2 linked regions of the Lepisosteus oculatus genome follow. The protein of the gene in region 1 purifies or fractionates together with the protein of each later gene. This does not show direct contact. Links are inferred from orthologs where the notes say so. Each region holds a gene or a part of one and is shown on either strand. Other genes may lie near its edges.

Region 1 (8,452 bases):
CAATTTATTTCCAGTATCAATACCGATTACAAATAAAACTATGTACATTTAATAATCTTTTGTTATAGTGAAATCCCTGATAAATTAAAAATTTCTGACATAAATGCTGACAGAGTAATGAAAAGAGAGATTTACATTATTTTTAGATGTTTTGTTTGTTGCTGACATAGTTTAACCTTATCTACTGTATAAATGTACCAACTGGAAAATGTGAGGAAACACAAAACAATGGGTGGTACAACCACCTGTTGCAGGAGGTACAGGGGATTTACCAAACCACTTAATCCGGAATGTTGTTTGCAGATTATTTGTAATAAATCACACAGTGTTGATCGTTACAACATTAGGAATAGACAGAATTAATGTACATTAGAATCCAAATATTGATTTCCTTAGATGTTCCATCATTTATTTAGAAAAGGCTACATTTCTCATAAAAAACAGCAAATTATACTATGACTATAATGACATCAGAAATTTACCAGTTTCCAAGTTTCACCGTCTGTTTTGGATACAAAAAAATAACTAAATGTGAAATGAAAATACTTTTAACAGCCAACAACCTGTAAATATTTTTCAAATAACAGCTGTGTCATATTAGAATACAAGTGAACAGCAGGGACACCTGAATTAAAAAGAAACACAATGAAAGTAAAAGAAAATCAAGAAGAAATTCTCAAGATTTTCTAATCAGAAGAAAAAAACAGGAAATTTCAGCTCAGGAGAACAAAATTATCTTTTTCTTCATACCAGCAAAAGAAAAACAAATATTGGGTATTATTTTCTAGGACACGAATACTTAACTCTCTTACAAGCATGATAAGAATTCAAGTTTAAGAACATGTAGTCTCAAAGGTGAGTATTTAAAAGATACAGTACACACAAAGAGAAGGGTTTTCCCTTTATGGAAGGGTAAAAATTCAATTAAATTTTAAATTTTAAGATAATGTTAATCAAAAATGTATTTTTTTCCACAATACACAAGAGACAGGTCTAACATAGGCAGACATATTTATTAATTTCATTACCTCGCTAAATTAACTACAACTGTGACAATTGATCATACTATTGCAAACTAAACTAATGCAAAGAAACAACTACTTTATAAAAACAACAGATTGACTGAGCTCTTATTTCCTATGAAATATGACAATTCTTCTCAGTATATGAAGTTCTTTGCTTCTACAACGCTGACATTACCCGGTTTATTTATTAGGGTCATACTGAAGAGTCAGTAAGAAAAACCAAAATTGTGAGCAATACTGAAAAAAAAAACACTTTAAATTATTATTCAGTGGGAAACGCTTAGACATTTGTATAAACGTGTAAATGATGTTATGTATTACAACCAAACCTGTTTATTATTATTTTTTTGCTTTAGTTCCAAAACACAGTAAACTGCCATATACGCGTCACATTAAAGACAAGTTTTAAACATTTAAAGACACTGTAGTGTATATTTAAACCACCTGTTCATCCGTTATTTTACGGCTAAACCAATAATTGAATAGGGGAGAAAATCTTAAAAGGGTATTAAAATTAAGCAAACAGCATTGTTAAATCTTTCTCTAGCAATTGTACTTCTTTAACCATAGAATGGGCTGCTGTACATTACAGATTACAGTCTGAACCCATTTTGTTCCTTTTCGTAAAAAATAATGGAATTTACACAGCGCTCGTTTAAATCAATTTTGTGCTGGAGGTACACAAAACACAAAAAAAAATATACGATACGGTTGTTACAGTTAATCATAATGACTTGCAAAATAATTTTTATGATAAAAACACTGGAGGCAGCTCACACCAAATGAAACGCGGCGTATCGTGATCGCATCCTAAAAAACAGGAAACAATGGACGATCGGCAAGTCTGTATGAAACTGGATCACACATACTAACAGGATTGTTAGAAATCTGGATAAAATTGCATTTTTCTCATCTTTATAGCTACCTATCTCATTTACGGGTCCAAGAAATGTATTGAAAAAGTGCTGGCCTACACAAAGCTCTAAAATTGTTAACCACACCCCGCATGCTGAAAAACGAATATGGAATCCCCTTCGAGGGAATTTGGACTATATAAATACAGTTTATCAATTGTTAAAGGGCAATGCGAAGTAACGAGGTTTCGCAAAGAATTTTGCCACCTCTCCTTTATGTCACTGATGTCAAAGGCCATGCTCTTGTTGTATAACACCATTAGTAATTAATTATTTGTATATGCTATGCTATTCACATTTCTGACCTGCTGCTTTGCTAACTAAATGCGTTGAGGTGTGCAATAGAAAACCGGTTAGCGCCCCATATGTAAGAGAGAACAGGGGTATAAGGAGGGGGAAAAAAGACTTTGATAAGTTGTTGGGTGGAAACAGACTATGACTCTGATCTGTTTTATATTTGTTCTTGTTTGATCACGCCCCCCTCTAGCCTCCCCGAGATCGAAGACAGCTGTGGACATGTTCGACTCGCGTTTTTTTTCTTCTTCAGACCAAATCTTATTCTCACAGTCCACCGATTACTTAATTAAGATGCTTAACCATTTTCTACATTATACTGGTCTGTCAGCAGGCTGCCTGTGTATCAACGTGTATGTCGTCGGGAGAATCTATACAGCACCCAGCTATCTGACATGTACCTAATACGAACTAACCTTTCTTGTAAATTGCTACCAATCTAAGAAGTAAATGAGTCTGAACAATTGCAGTCTCTGTTAAAGGCATGCTGCTTCCCTTGTATACACAAACACACATAATAAAAGATTTCACGTTAGTACTATTTGATCAATTTGAAACATTGTACTACAAATGGTAATAATCAATTGACTGAGGAAATATTTAATAACCAAAATGATGGCGGACTGGAATCCAGTATCTCACTATCTCTACAGACCATAGCCACCTTACACGAATTGGAGTGCAACGCTAATTAAAAGGAACTGATCTTCCCTTACTTTAACATGGCTTCTTCTTTTTCCTCTTCTTCCTTCTGTCTAACCATCACAGCCATTATAATTTTTCTTTCCTCCTCCGTCAGATGGCTCAGGTCCGGCAGATCTTGCATCGAAGGAGGCGCGGTGGGTGGGCGAGGGCCGTGGGACCCCAGAGAAGCAGACATGTTATAGCCCTCCTTATCGTGCCGTTTTCTTAATAAAACCCGAGTACAAACCCACTTCTCACAATATAGTCCACGGACAGAGCAGCGGCTCTTGCAAACAGTGCAAGCCTTTCATGGTTGCGGGCACCCACGATTGTGCTTTTTTTTTTCAGTTCGACTTCCCCCACCCCACCAAAATCCACCTCCAATTACTGGTAGCCCATCTTTAATCGGGAGATAACACACAGTAAATCAGCGGCGCATGGGTTTGGTTGCTGTGAAATTTCCCTACCACTAGGCTCGGGTTTGGTGTTTGATGTTGGCTAGGCGGAGTCCGTACGTTGCTCTGCTCTTTGCTACTGTTGCTGATGCTGCTGTCAGGGAGATGGAACAGTCAATGGGACCGCAGCCCCTCAAGCGCGCACCCCTCTCATGCACGAATACGCGCACTCACATTTGAGAATGGGACTGCTTGTACGCGCACCTCTCCCCGTGTGAACAAGCTGGCGGCGCGCCCACCTCCCACCTCTGCCACCCCGGTTCCCCCTACCCCCTCTGGGCTCGTGCACGAATAAATCTCAGCAGGAAGTACAAAGCCTTTTCCCGTGCGCGTCCGTGTTTCTATTCTACTGTCTTGTTCATTCAGGATCCGAGCCGGAGGCAGTCCTGGTACCGGGAATTCACTGTCTGAAAGACGGGCGCAGTATCTACAGTAGTAGTTGATAACCACCACTGCTGTAAAATGTTCAATATATTGTAAAACTATACCTTATATTTTTTTAGGTAAGTACAATGCATCACGCCCTTAATTTGAAAGAATGATGTGCACGTTTCACTCCCTTTAATGCACATCTGTCATCTGTATTTTACTGGTAATAACACAATGAGTTATATTTTTTTTTCATTCTTGTATGTAAAGAGGGGTGTGTGACTTTGAAAATGTGGCTCTGCGCTCATATGTTCTACGTAGCTTCCAGCAAAAAGAGGGTAAAGATACTGAATTTGATCAACGTAAACATCTGAGCATAGGGAGATTTATAATCGATTAAACATCAGCAAATCTCCTGAAACTAGAGTGAACGTTCAAAGAAAGAAAGTAAACTAAGAAAGTTAATCGATAAGAGAGAGAGATCGCTTGGAAGAATCCCCAAACACCATTTGAATTTTCCTTCATTATTACCGTGTAACAAAATTTCAGTGTCTATCATCAGATCTAAACTGAAGACAATTTGCAGGATCTGTTGAATCAATTCAAAGTAAATATGTATGGTTTTATTAGGATGATTTACAATTCTGATTGAGATTACTTTTATGCGCGTGTACTTATTATATGCTTATTAATATTTATCATAATCATGAGGCTTTTGACCACCCATACTATTAGACAAAGATTTAGGAAAAGTCAAATGGTTCTAGAAAGCTATGAAAAGCTGATACAACACCAAAATAAAGGACAAAAGTCACACGATGGCAGTCATACTGTAGTTGGTTTTTCCGGGAATCTTTGACTTAAAAATGTTCTCCAAAAACACAATTGACAGAGATTTGAAACTTGAACTACAGACTTCCTTTATAAGTTTGATTTATGTTTTTTCCAAGAAAACTTGATTGATCACTTGATTTGATTAAAAAAATACTCAGCTGTGTCTGCATTGTTAAGCTATCAAAGTTATTGAGGAGAAGTAGCTACATAAAAAAGACAGCCATCGTAATCCAACAGCAATTTCTAGATGTTTGCATTCATTAGAACATGTGATAGAATATAATGTGATAAAGAATGTAGGAGATCCACAGATCTTTAAGTAAAAGAGACCTATGTCTAATATAACATCCACAGATTAATTCAGTTGATTTAAATTTCTTTGGCCATGGCTCTTGAACTAGTGTTATAGTCACATGCTCTATCAAAAAAATCTTCATAACCTCTGACCTCTCCACATTGTCAAATGCAAAACTGTATTGTAGAATCTTAGAGCTGTAGAGGTCATCATAGTGTAAAATGGCTATATTCCCAGTCATTACTCTTTGCTGCTTTCTTTTAAAGATTATTATTATTATAGTAATTACATCCTGTCCAGGTTTCCTAGTTGTGCTCATTGTTAGCTGTTGTTAAACTGTTTTAACACAACCTTGTATTGGATTAAGAAAATGGGTGGATGATTATTCTGGTATTCTGTTCTCATTTGGTTCTGATGGACTTGGAAATGATAGTAGGCTTTTCATCAATGTTTTTTTTTTATTTGAATGTGATTTGTGGGGCTATTTTCCAATAAAAGTGGAGGCATGTGATGCTCAGACTGTTTAACAGCTGGAAGTCTGGAAAGGAATTGGAAATCCCCAAAATTTCAATTTATATGGGTAAGCTATTTTTTAACAGCTCCATAAACAAACCGCACACAGGCACGCAGATACCATTGCATTCCCACAAGCACCTGATCACTCACTAATGAGCTTCACTCACCTTGTCTATTTAAACTCCCACTCTGCAACTTGTCCTCACTCACTATTGAGGTTTCCTCAGCCAGAGCTACACATCCAGTTAGCGACTTACTCAGACTTCTCATTCGTTCTTCTGACCCCTTGGATTTCTGATCTACTGCTTCTGATCCCCGACCTTGCTCTAGCCTCACGATTTGGATTACATTCGCATAGGAATTCAGTTTTCTCTCTCTGACTCTGCAAAGGGTCCTAAAATATGCACTACACATGACAGGCTCTCATTACAAACAACATTATTCATTTACCAGTGATGTTATACATGGTTGCAATTTCAACTGCTACAATTTTCATAAAATAACCATTGATTCAGGACCATGGACAGAACTTATACTGTAGCTGATCTGTGGTTCTTTGGAAGAGAAGATTCATCTTATCTCTGTGAGCCTCTTGCTTACACCAATAATCTGTTGCATTCAACTCTACTTCCTGAACACTATCTTCCCAAAACCATAACAAAGCATTGAAAATTTGAAACAATGGCTGAATTGCATAAAGTTTTTAAAAAATCTAGATCCAAGAATCAGATGCACAAAATAAACTATTGTAGTAACCTTTGCTTGTAAGCAAACATACACAATTTTAAAGCAAAAAAAGCCACTAAGGTTGTATTGGCCTGCTATACATTATGCAAAAAACACAATTTCCTTGTAACTCCAAGGTAGATAACATGGGTAAAAATGTATTTAAATTCTAACACTAGTAAATATTTTTACTCTGACTAGATTAAAAGATTTTGTCTTTTAAAATTACATTAAGAACTGGTGTTATTAATGTATGTCCTGTTTTTACTATTGCACATGTGCACAATAAAGATGACTATTCTGTTGTTATAAAAGATAATTCTCTATTGTGCTAAAAAACAATAGAGCATATAGTAATACCCGTAGTCTCTCTTCAAATTGTGTTTTCACTTCAGGCTAGAAACAAAAGTTTTTAGTTATTGATTTTAAAACAAAAACATCACAATTATACAAACAGTAAATCTTAGGATAATACTAGCAGCAAGACATTCACTTACAATGTAGCACAAGTATACTGTAGATCGTCTTAATGCTTTTATTTTGTTTATGATAATAAAATCCTTATAGGAGCAATGAGTTTTTCTTTGTTGTCAAAACATTTCATGTACTGTTATAGGTGTGTCATAAAAAAGCCTCTGTTTTGTCTTTCGTTCTATTAACAGAAACTTTCTGAAAAACAAACTATAAACAAAGTTAGATACTTGAAAAATAATAAAAACTGTAATAGCTGTTCTGATGTGTCATCACTGAGATGGTATTCAGGCATTATTTTTTTGACACTTATCACAGTATTTTATGTAAATATCTTTGTAAATTTTACACAATTTATCTTCCATAACTTAAAATTGTTATACATCTCGACTTTGTACTACATGAACACATTTCTTGTACAACCATTTAGAGCTGACAGAAACAGGAAATCAATAGAGAAGTAAAAAGACCTGTTGAGTCTGGGAAATATATGATACAGTACTATGTTAAAATAATATGATGAGAACAGAATAAAGGCTACAATGAGCTAGCTGCCCATCTGGCCTCTTTAGTGGTTCATATTTAACCTTTCTTATGCTATTACTTAAACTGTAATTGCAATTCCTAATCACGTAACATCCCTGCAGTCTGTGATTGTGCATCATCCATTTTTGTTTTGTTATTTATGGCTTTTTTTGCAAGAGGTTTTTTATGTTTAGTGTTCTAATGCTCTTAGCAGCTTTTAGCAGATAGCAAAACAGGATTCATGCAATTTGTTTAATTAGGAAGCTGTGATGTTTTAAGAGGTTGCTCCTTGAGGAAGACACCATTTTGGCTCAAACCCCAGGACTAATGGCGTTGCATTGGGTCAAGATGGCTGCCTGGTAATTGAAAATTGCAGCAGAATGAGACACAGCTGGGCTGATTGAGTCTGGAGCATTCTGAGAGAATGGAATTCCACGAGAAGGAAAAGAGCCGTGAGAATAATTCTCACGTGGAATTAGTCACATCTCTGACTAATCAGGAGGCTGTATCTAGGCTCATTGAGAGACAGGCAGAACCCTGAAAATGGATGTTGTTAGAAATGCATTTGTGTAGCTAACAGGCCTGTAGGACTGGTGAGCTCTGGAGCAGCTTTAAAAGGATAATGCACTGAGGTGTGCCACTCATGGGTCCTAGGCACAATTGGTAGGGTGTGTGAGTATCACATTTCTGAAAAACAGGAATAGCTTGCTGAACCTGGGCTTACAGAAGGCACTCAAATGAGGAGATGTGAGGAGGCAAAAAAAAAGCTGTGTATCTTTTTGCTTTGCTCAAGAGAGCCAAGACATTGCAGAATGATACATAAGAACATAATAAGTCAAGGTAACTTGAAATGAACATTCTGTGCCTAGTGTAAAAGAGTGCAAAGATCCAAAGAGTAAAAATATTAGTGCTGTCAATGTAAGACACAAGGGAGAGATCAGGGAAGACCTGAATATGTTGGGTTGTTTCCGGAAGGTGACCAATGAGAAAGCTAGGAGTCCTGGAGGGCATTTGAATGTAACGATTACATGAAGCCGGATCACTAAAAATGACAACAGGTCATGTGACGTGGCTAGCACAACTCAAATAGTGGGAAGGGTAGCTTGGTCACATGAATGTATTGAACTGTTTGACAAGAAACATTACAATTGACTTCCTGGCAGATTCAGCATTTTTAGATTAGTCAACTTAGTTACAGAAACATGTCTAGTGAAAGTACTGTAATAGTGTATATTTTCTTCATTTACTTTATACACTTTTCATGACTATTTTAATTAATCACTGAGGCAATTGACATCTAGTAGGATGTCAATCTCTTGCTTTTGTAATTGTATAATTAAGCAC
Region 2 (8,466 bases), on another chromosome or scaffold:
TTAAAACAAATAATCAAGACTCACCGAATATGACTAAATGGAGCAAGTTAAAGGATGAGCTACAGTATGATCCTAAAACCTGGACATCAAGAATTCAGTGTTATACCAGCATTCAGCAAAGGTTTCAGGAGATTTCAGAAAATAATCCCAAAAAAGACAAAAAAACGTGTGTTTTTTTCTGTTGGAGGTTTCATTAAAAAAAACCTTTATCAGCTGTTACTGGTTGCCAGTAGGGATACGTACATTTTAGAGTATATAAGGTAGTTGACGAAATTTTGTAGGAGAATATTTGGAATGATATAAATACGGCTTCCAAAATTCCTAGTCCATGAATGACTGACTTAGCCTGTCTGTCCTTCAGAGAGCAGACCTGACCACTCTTAGATCCTATAACTGGTACCCAGTCCTTAAAGTGTGCTCAGTGTGTGGGAGGCTAAGGACTTTTTATATACACATTTTAGGCATGCCCCAGCGTGGTTAACTTTTAGAAAAACAAGTTGCCTCTTTTATATCTCCTGCTCTAAAGAAAGATATATACAGTGCTCCCCACCGGCGTCCTTACTAAATAATGACTTCAATCTCCGCCTCTTACAAAAAAACGGAGCCTGAAAGATGCTGGTGCTGTGTTAGGCGTCTTTCAACCCCTCTCCTGGCACCACTGCCCTAGATTGACATTATTTACTGTCTAAGGAACTGTCTACTGGTCAGATCCAGGGTTCCAGACGGAGACTGTGGAGATCTAAAGAGCTGCTGCTGATGTGCTCAAATCTCTGCTGCCCAGCTCTTCCATCACTTACAGTACATTACCATCAAGGTCCATAGGCAGAAACTAGGAACCACCGAGGACAGGGGGCTTGTACTGTTTTGTTCTGTTTGGGTTTTTTGTTTTTTAAACAGGTTCACCACCAATGAGAAACAAGACCACAAGAGATTTTTAGAATTCTGTCAAATGTTTTCTTTTCTTGATGGAGAAAAGATAACAGTACAGCGTATGTGTATATAGAAGCAAAAAAACAAAAAACAAATCAGAAGCCAAAAGCCCATATAGTCACCATCAGGACCCAGTGAGTCAGAAAAACCTCTTGCAACCAATTCAGAGAAACAAACGGTTTGGATTTTTCTCTCGCAAAAATGGTGAAAATTGCATTCCGTCACAAAGTGCTCAAGAAATCTGCCTGATTGTCCTCTAAGTACGAGGGCTCGTTTCCAGGGCCCTTCACTGCACACGAAGCGGAGATGCAGCTGTGACTGTGAAAGGGAATCTTGGAAACGCGGGGACGGAAGACTGGAGGGGTGCTTCGGAGGCGTACTTCGGGGCACTGGAGCAGGAAGGCTGTGCTCACTGAACTACACCCTTCAGCTCAGTTACCATTCCGATTTCGACATTTCTGACACAATTTTCCGCCAGAACAAACGAACCAGATGTTTAATACAGTATATACTGTGCGCACAACGTATTTATCTGTCTGGTTCTTTTATAAAAGACAACTAACACATGCCCCCATTTTACATAATTGTATTTTAACTGGAAAGAATGTTCATTGCCTTGCTCAAGGGTACAAGTGCAGCATCTAACCAGGGATTTGAACCCACAACCTTCCAGTTATAAGTCCAGAACCATAAACACTGTTCCACACAGATTTTAAGCAGCCAACAATTCAGTTTTCCACACATCCTGTATGCCAACCCCATGATAGAAATGATACAATAACTTAAGCTGTCACCTCTTCCTTACCAGTGTATGCTCTACCATTAGATCTGAATTTCCCCAAAGGTAATCTGCAATTAAATATAATTTCCCTTAGAAAAAGGTGGCATAACTGTAACTGGACAACATTTCTAAATGACATCTTTGTTCTACAAAGGCCTAGGACTACGGCACTGATGATGAGCTGATGAGTGAACGGGGTCTGTTCATCTTGAACAATAATTTACTTCAAGGTTTCCCAGCTGTGGAGAGCATGCTAGGAAAAGCAAAGCCGGCGGAGGAAATGTACTCACTCAATGATGTAACCAGACACAGTGAATAGCACAGCCATAAACGAAATTCCACCTACCACGACAAAAGGTGCTCACCCTCGATTTAAAGAAAGTACAGCTGAATAAATGACCGAATGGTTATGAATTATATGTCATATGTGACGATATTATTCGGCCAAGACAAATGCCCCTAAAAAAGATCGATGAATGAGATCGATAATCCAACTACCGTCTAGTCTTTTTGTTAACTACAGAATGTACCTTTTTTTAAAAAAAAAAAGCATTCGCTGTACGTTGATTTACTGCTTGCGATCGTAGACATCTTACAGGAAAATTTGGAATGGTCCCAAAAAGAATATTTGGACCCGGTACATCCGCTAGCTTCCCACTGCCCTGTCTCTGTATTTTTTTAAATTGACATTATCTTTATGGACACAAGTGTATTTATTGCACTTGCCTTTAAAGGGTTAATGGCATCCTGCACCGATTTAATGAGGTTCGTAGTAGCGAGCAGACCTAACCGCATGTTGAAAAGCCCTCCTCCTAGCTAGGACGATTGGCTGTTACGAGCACATAAGGAGAATGGTTGTTTCCCGACTGGCCAATATTCCTGCCATTCACCCAGAAATGTCAATTCTTGAGAATCGAGTTAGTCTGAGAGAGAACAAGATTCTCCCCTTTATCTTATATACAGTAGATAGCAAACGCCTAAAAAAAAAATCAATAACGCGTTAAAATATACCTACGGTAGTTGTTAATCAGACTGATCACTTAAGATGATTAATACCAACCTTGAAGTAATAAGTGCACATGTAACGTTAAAAGCCGGGTGAAATGGTTACCTCTGCGCTACGGTAATTAATAAATGACTGGCATAAAATGCAGTCTTCCAGAAAAGCATAGTACATGGCATCGTGTACAGAAAAAATTGGCTACAATCGCAGACACGATCAGGAATAAGCGATCATATTTATTATCCTGCTCTAAAAGCGCTCATAGCCCAGGTGTACAGTTGTACATTAAAACCTGCAACCCCGACAAGCAGTTTCTAATATAGCCCGTCCTGGTGAAATAAAAAGTACTACCTGTAAACACTTTATTAAATAACAACATTTCAAAGTTGTGCAGTCGGACAGTACATTACTTTGCTGCATTACAATCAGAATAAAAGCGGCTAATTTATAACGACTGCACAGAGCACTACAGTCCGGTGTGATTTTTTTTTTACTTTCAGCTTGGCTTGCTCCTATTTTTTTTTTGTAACCCCAGAAGAGCTAGTCCGGTGTGCACTGCTGAAATATCCACCCTCTGTGCTCTGCCAGGACATAATAATTCCCTAGAATGCGAAAGAAAACTAATTATCAATGAGAGAGGGAAAAAAAAATCAGATTTAGCCACCATGCCGCCGTGCATAAAGCAGTCTTTCCAAGCGAAGGACATCTCTCTCCCTTGGCCGGCGAATAAACTGCAGCTGCATTAGCAAGACCGTTTAATGCAATTGTATTTTTTCTAAAAAAAAAAAAATGCATGCAATGTTTCATACCCTTTTATAATGTCAGTTCTTCTCCATCACGGCTTCACTGGCTGCCAGCCTGACTCAACATTCCCAGCATTCTCGACCTCCGCTTTCATTGGGCCGCGGACACCCTCCTGTGCTCCACACTGGGGAAGCAGCGACAAGACGGTTTTAAAGGGGCAGCTGAAATAAAGGCAGGTACGTACCGTGCTGTGTGCTGTGCGCACCGCGCCGAGCGAGCCAAGCCCTTGCAGTGCGCGAAGGCAGCCCGTCCGCCCACCCCTCCGGCTCCCGCCCCCCGCCTGTATCCCGATTGTATCAGATGCCGTATCAGATACAGTAGATACAATTGCCGCTGGGCGCAACAGAGGGACCGCACAGACACAAGAGACAGACACACACACACACAGAGACAAAAAAAAAAACAGCTGTTTCGCACCGGACGGCGTAACACCGCGAAATGACCAAACACGCACGTGTGGGTCTCAACAACAACAGCAAACAAAAAAATGTTGCCGGTCAACGAGGGGATCAGGAGGAGGAGAAGAAAGTGGCCGATCTCCACATTTTCTCAAGCAATGACAGGGAGCAAGAGGGGAGAGCCTCGGCTCGCCCGCTGCCCAGCCCTCGCCAGCCACCTGGCCAGCCAGCCCGTTTCTCCTTCAGAGATTTCCCGTCCTGCGAGAACGAGTCACAGCCGGCGCTTTACGTGAGCGATACCTTTCTTCGCTAGTCCGGAGGTCTGCTCATCTGCAAGAGGCGTTTAGCGCTGCGCTCAATTTCAGCTGCTGGCTATACAGCCGCAGTTTCCTGACGGGGTCTTCTCACCTGTCAAACACACTGTGGACCTGATACCTGTGTGTAAGGCTGTAGCATATCCCTGTCGTTGCTGCTTGTCTTTCAGGGAGCTTTGGTGCTTTTTAAATACCACATACACTTTACTACAGTTCCCCGTAGTACAGTACATCAAAGTACGTTGCAGTAAAAACCGCAGTAAGATCACGACGAGCGAGAGAGGGATGTGGCTCATTGCGGTGGACTTATTTTCAAGTACCTTTTGCATAAATAATAACTTTCTTCAAATGAAAAATGGTCACTTTTCCCCATGGACCAGGAAATACTTTCAAAGATGCAAATCACCCCGATGGCAGAGTTACAATTCGCACGCACGTACTGTGCTGTATGAAAGCTGACACGAAAGGCTGGACTTTTCACGCGAGCTGCGTTTTTTTGTTTTACGGAGTACATGTAGACTGTTGGGAAAATAAAGATTTAAAAAGCAGATTAAAAAAAATCCCTTAAATATCACACTGTATCTTTAAAAATATATATTCAACAGGGACAGCCCAGACGCCACCCTTCAGTACCCTGGGTGTGTACTGTCGCTGGTGAGAGCAATATAAACAAAAATACATCACTCTAGTCTAATGGTTCACTACGTTGCTGATAAGTGTTGCAAACATATTGGCTGTGCTTAAGGACCATTTTCCTAAAATATTTCCCTGAGGCTCACAGCAGCTATTTCAAGTGTGACTGATTGCCTGAAGATGAAAAGCCTGATTGCTCACTGTATGTAGGTTTTGCTACTGGAAGTACTGTACATGGGGTTTTTTTTTTCCACAGTAAATAAATTGAGGCAGGAGAAGCCATTGGGAAGTGTAACAAGTAACAGACAGAGGCCTCTTACGTGAAAGAAGCAAGAAAAGATTAATTGTATTCCAGGACATGTTTGTGAGAATTCTGTGTTTTCTCATTCTTTGCTGATGAGCCACATACAATAATTAAATTAAGCAATGGGTACAGCCAAGTCTTTAGAATAGCTCACTCCTGGATCTATGGGGAAGGAAGATGTCACAGACGCCAGAATTTCAAGCACTGACAGAGCTTCCCAGGAACTACAGTACATTAAGAGCTAAAAAATAGAGTCTCGTCAAGTGAAGGGCCATTCTTTGGATTTTGTCATTCGAAATGATGTAATGTGGTTTCGTTAATGTGATTTACGGTAAGCATAATCTAAGATGAGTCAGAATTGACAGGAACCTGCATTTCATTAACAATAATCAGGGAAGTGACTTGTGATTTACAGCTACAGTATAGTGAGCTTGGGATGGATCTTCATTTTCTCATGAGCCCACTATAACTGATTCATCATCTGCTACAGGTTTATAGAGGGCATCTGCCACAAACACAAACCAGCCACAGAACTCCCTTTCAGCCTCAGGCATCTATTCTTTAATTTATATGGAGTAGTGTTCAATTTACACGTTTCCAGTTGAGTGAGAGAGTGTGTGTGGGGGGGCAGGGTACTCCCAATTCAGAAAAAATATTTAATTACGATTAGCAATTAATTTGGCTATTTTTTTTTAATCGAAAGTGACTTACCCTGTACATTTTTGCCAGCTGGGGTTGTAACTGAAGCAAAATGAATGAAGTACAGTCCTGTATACTTGGAGCTCAAGGATGTGAGAGCTCTGACTTGCTCAAGTCAGGAGTGCCAACTACCCTGCCCATCTGAGCTTGACCTAAAGGGTACAGTCTTTTATTTAATGATTTTAAAGAAGCATTTGTGTATTTTTTCAGCACAATAAAATTTAATCTCTGCATTAATTCATTAGTGTTTATGAAGCGTAAAGCACGCCTCAGAGAGATTCTGCTTGGAGTTCAGTAAGCGCACCTCCATAAGAGCAAAGACTACAAGATCTTCAATCATTTTCATCTGGTCCTCCATGAGGGGAAATGACCTCTTCTTAAGGTTTATAGAGTTGCCAAGAAAATGTGAGAGATGTTCCTATTAATTAGACAATTTGTATCAGAAAACAAAAAGTGAACAAAAATAGATTAGTGGTGAAAAGGTACACATTTCTAAGATCCTTCTTTCTTCCTTCACTGTTTCCTCTAAGATAACGCTAGCCCTGACAGATTGTATTCAATTAAACAGAGAAAAGGCATGTGTCTATTAAATGCTTCTTCTTAAGCTCATTGCTTATTGAAATCAAATCTGTATTGGTTTAAAAAATAGTTTGAACAGTATCATACTCACAAAATGCTGTTCACACATGTCAGGACAATGGTTCTTTGTAATTAATAAATGACAATAGTTTCATGATTAGTAATATGAAATACTTTGCACAAGTACTGTATGTTTCATTCATGACCTCAGTAAATAATTATTCTAGTATCTGTATAATTAGATTTTAATTAGTTGGACTAATTAGGCATTGTTAGTAAATCCATGACTGCGTTTGACAAACAAATCTGAGCTGATGGTATTTTTGCTTTAGAGAATCTGTATACAATACTCATTTTATGATGTTGTGTTGCTGGAAATAATTACATTTGAAAAAGTTTAGATTTTTCTAATGAATAACATCAAGTGCCCATCTTCTTCGTATAAACTTCATGCATCTGAAATAAACTGTACCCAATAGTCTGTTTATATTCATATTGGATTCTATCGGATGCAAGCTTACAGACAATTTAAACTGCAGTCCTTGCCATCCAAACAATATGTACTGTACTGTGCCGCATCTGGTCATTTTCTGCAAAATTCAGCTAAACTAAGGAGTGAACACAACACAGCTTTAAATGCACATATTTACCACAACTTTTACTTGGGGTTTCAGAGACAGCCAAGTTGCCAATTAATATAGAAAGCATGTTTAATGACAAATAAGGCTAATGAGAACTGCTGGTAGTTGCTTTGTCAGCAAAATGAGTGTACATCTTAGTACTTACTAAATGAACACAAAATGTGAGCACCATAGAGTTTAATTAATTGTGGTAGCCGCTATGCTCTTTTATAAATCAGTAAATAAAAAGATGTAAAAACATTAGCCATACCACTGTACAGATTAGCAATCTGGCCTCAGGTTTATACATCTTCATAAAGAACACCACCAACTAAATGCGACTCATTAGGGCCATTATAATAAAGGAATTGAAAGAGATACTACGTTATACTGTATCTAATAGTATATAAAAACTTCTTATCAAGTTAAGAAATATCCAGATGTTTACACTATATAATTCGACCAAACCTTGTTTAGGTTCACGTTTTTTATAAGTATTCATCATTTATTTAGACTGTTATAAACAATAATTACATCTACAGGTTTAGGGTGTGGGTAGGCTATCGTCACAATGAAGACATTTGTGAATGATCTTTGCTAAAGCGCTGTCCACAGTTGTCTTAAATTTGAACCTTATATACAGTATCTGAGCAATAGAGTTTGGAATGAAGAGGAGAAAATATAGTGATGATGTAGCATTTTGAAAGGCTTCAAAATTTGTTAAAGCTCCTAGCGATACTTGAATGCTGACCATAGTCTGTGTGCTGCACATTGTCTTATGTAGAACATGAAGGCCCATTAAGAATCTTTGCTTTTCTTGCACGTTCTGTTCTCTTGTAGTTTACATTCTGCTCAGAGTCACCATGTTATTAGTTTATTTCTGTGTATTAGGGTCAGTGCACTGAAGCCTGGGCTGTGTAGAACAGTGCCGTATGTGGGGACCCAGTTTTTTGGCCCAGTGGAGTTCGTTGCTGTCCAGGGAGCTGTGTAGTGTGTTCTCTGAGCCCCCAAATTATGGTACATATGCAAACACAAAATCTTGTATGTGCATAAAGCGCCCTGCATGTTCTGTAGTGCAGTGTGGGTACTGTACACTGCATTACTCCTGTTCCCTCTACAAGGTATTCCAGCACCTTACAACATTGAGGGCAAATTAAATTACTATATAAGCACAGCAGAACAAGAACAATAAGTAAAACTGTGATCAAAGATATTAAATGCAAACCCTAGTGCAACAGAGGACAATGAAAAGCAAACTGTAGCTTGTTAATGTAGTCTGGAGCACCTATAGAAATAAAAATAACATTTTTAGTTGAATGGCAAGCCCAATATTTTTATGAAGTGAAACTGAAAATACAGTATACTGATTCCAAAGAGAAGGAATTAAAATTGTGCGCTGCA

Evidence for each region.
Region 2: the proteins of rims1a (region 1) and ERC protein 2 purify together in Homo sapiens (affinity purification with western blotting; 3 studies listed by BioGRID and IntAct, with this or other methods). This does not show direct contact. The link is inferred for Lepisosteus oculatus from reciprocal best matches to the Homo sapiens genes RIMS1 and ERC2.

The regions. Positions count from the first base shown.
Region 1 is NC_090712.1:11,315,509-11,323,960, forward strand, and holds the start of rims1a (regulating synaptic membrane exocytosis protein 1), read right to left. Parts: upstream 3,577-8,452; 5' UTR 3,114-3,576; coding exon 2,950-3,113; intron 1-2,949. UniProt on the Homo sapiens protein: Rab effector involved in exocytosis. May act as scaffold protein that regulates neurotransmitter release at the active zone.
Region 2 is NC_090699.1:64,252,570-64,261,035, forward strand, and holds the start of ERC protein 2, read right to left. Parts: upstream 3,752-8,466; 5' UTR 3,524-3,751; intron 1-3,523. UniProt on the Homo sapiens protein: Thought to be involved in the organization of the cytomatrix at the nerve terminals active zone (CAZ) which regulates neurotransmitter release. Seems to act together with BSN. May recruit liprin-alpha proteins to the CAZ.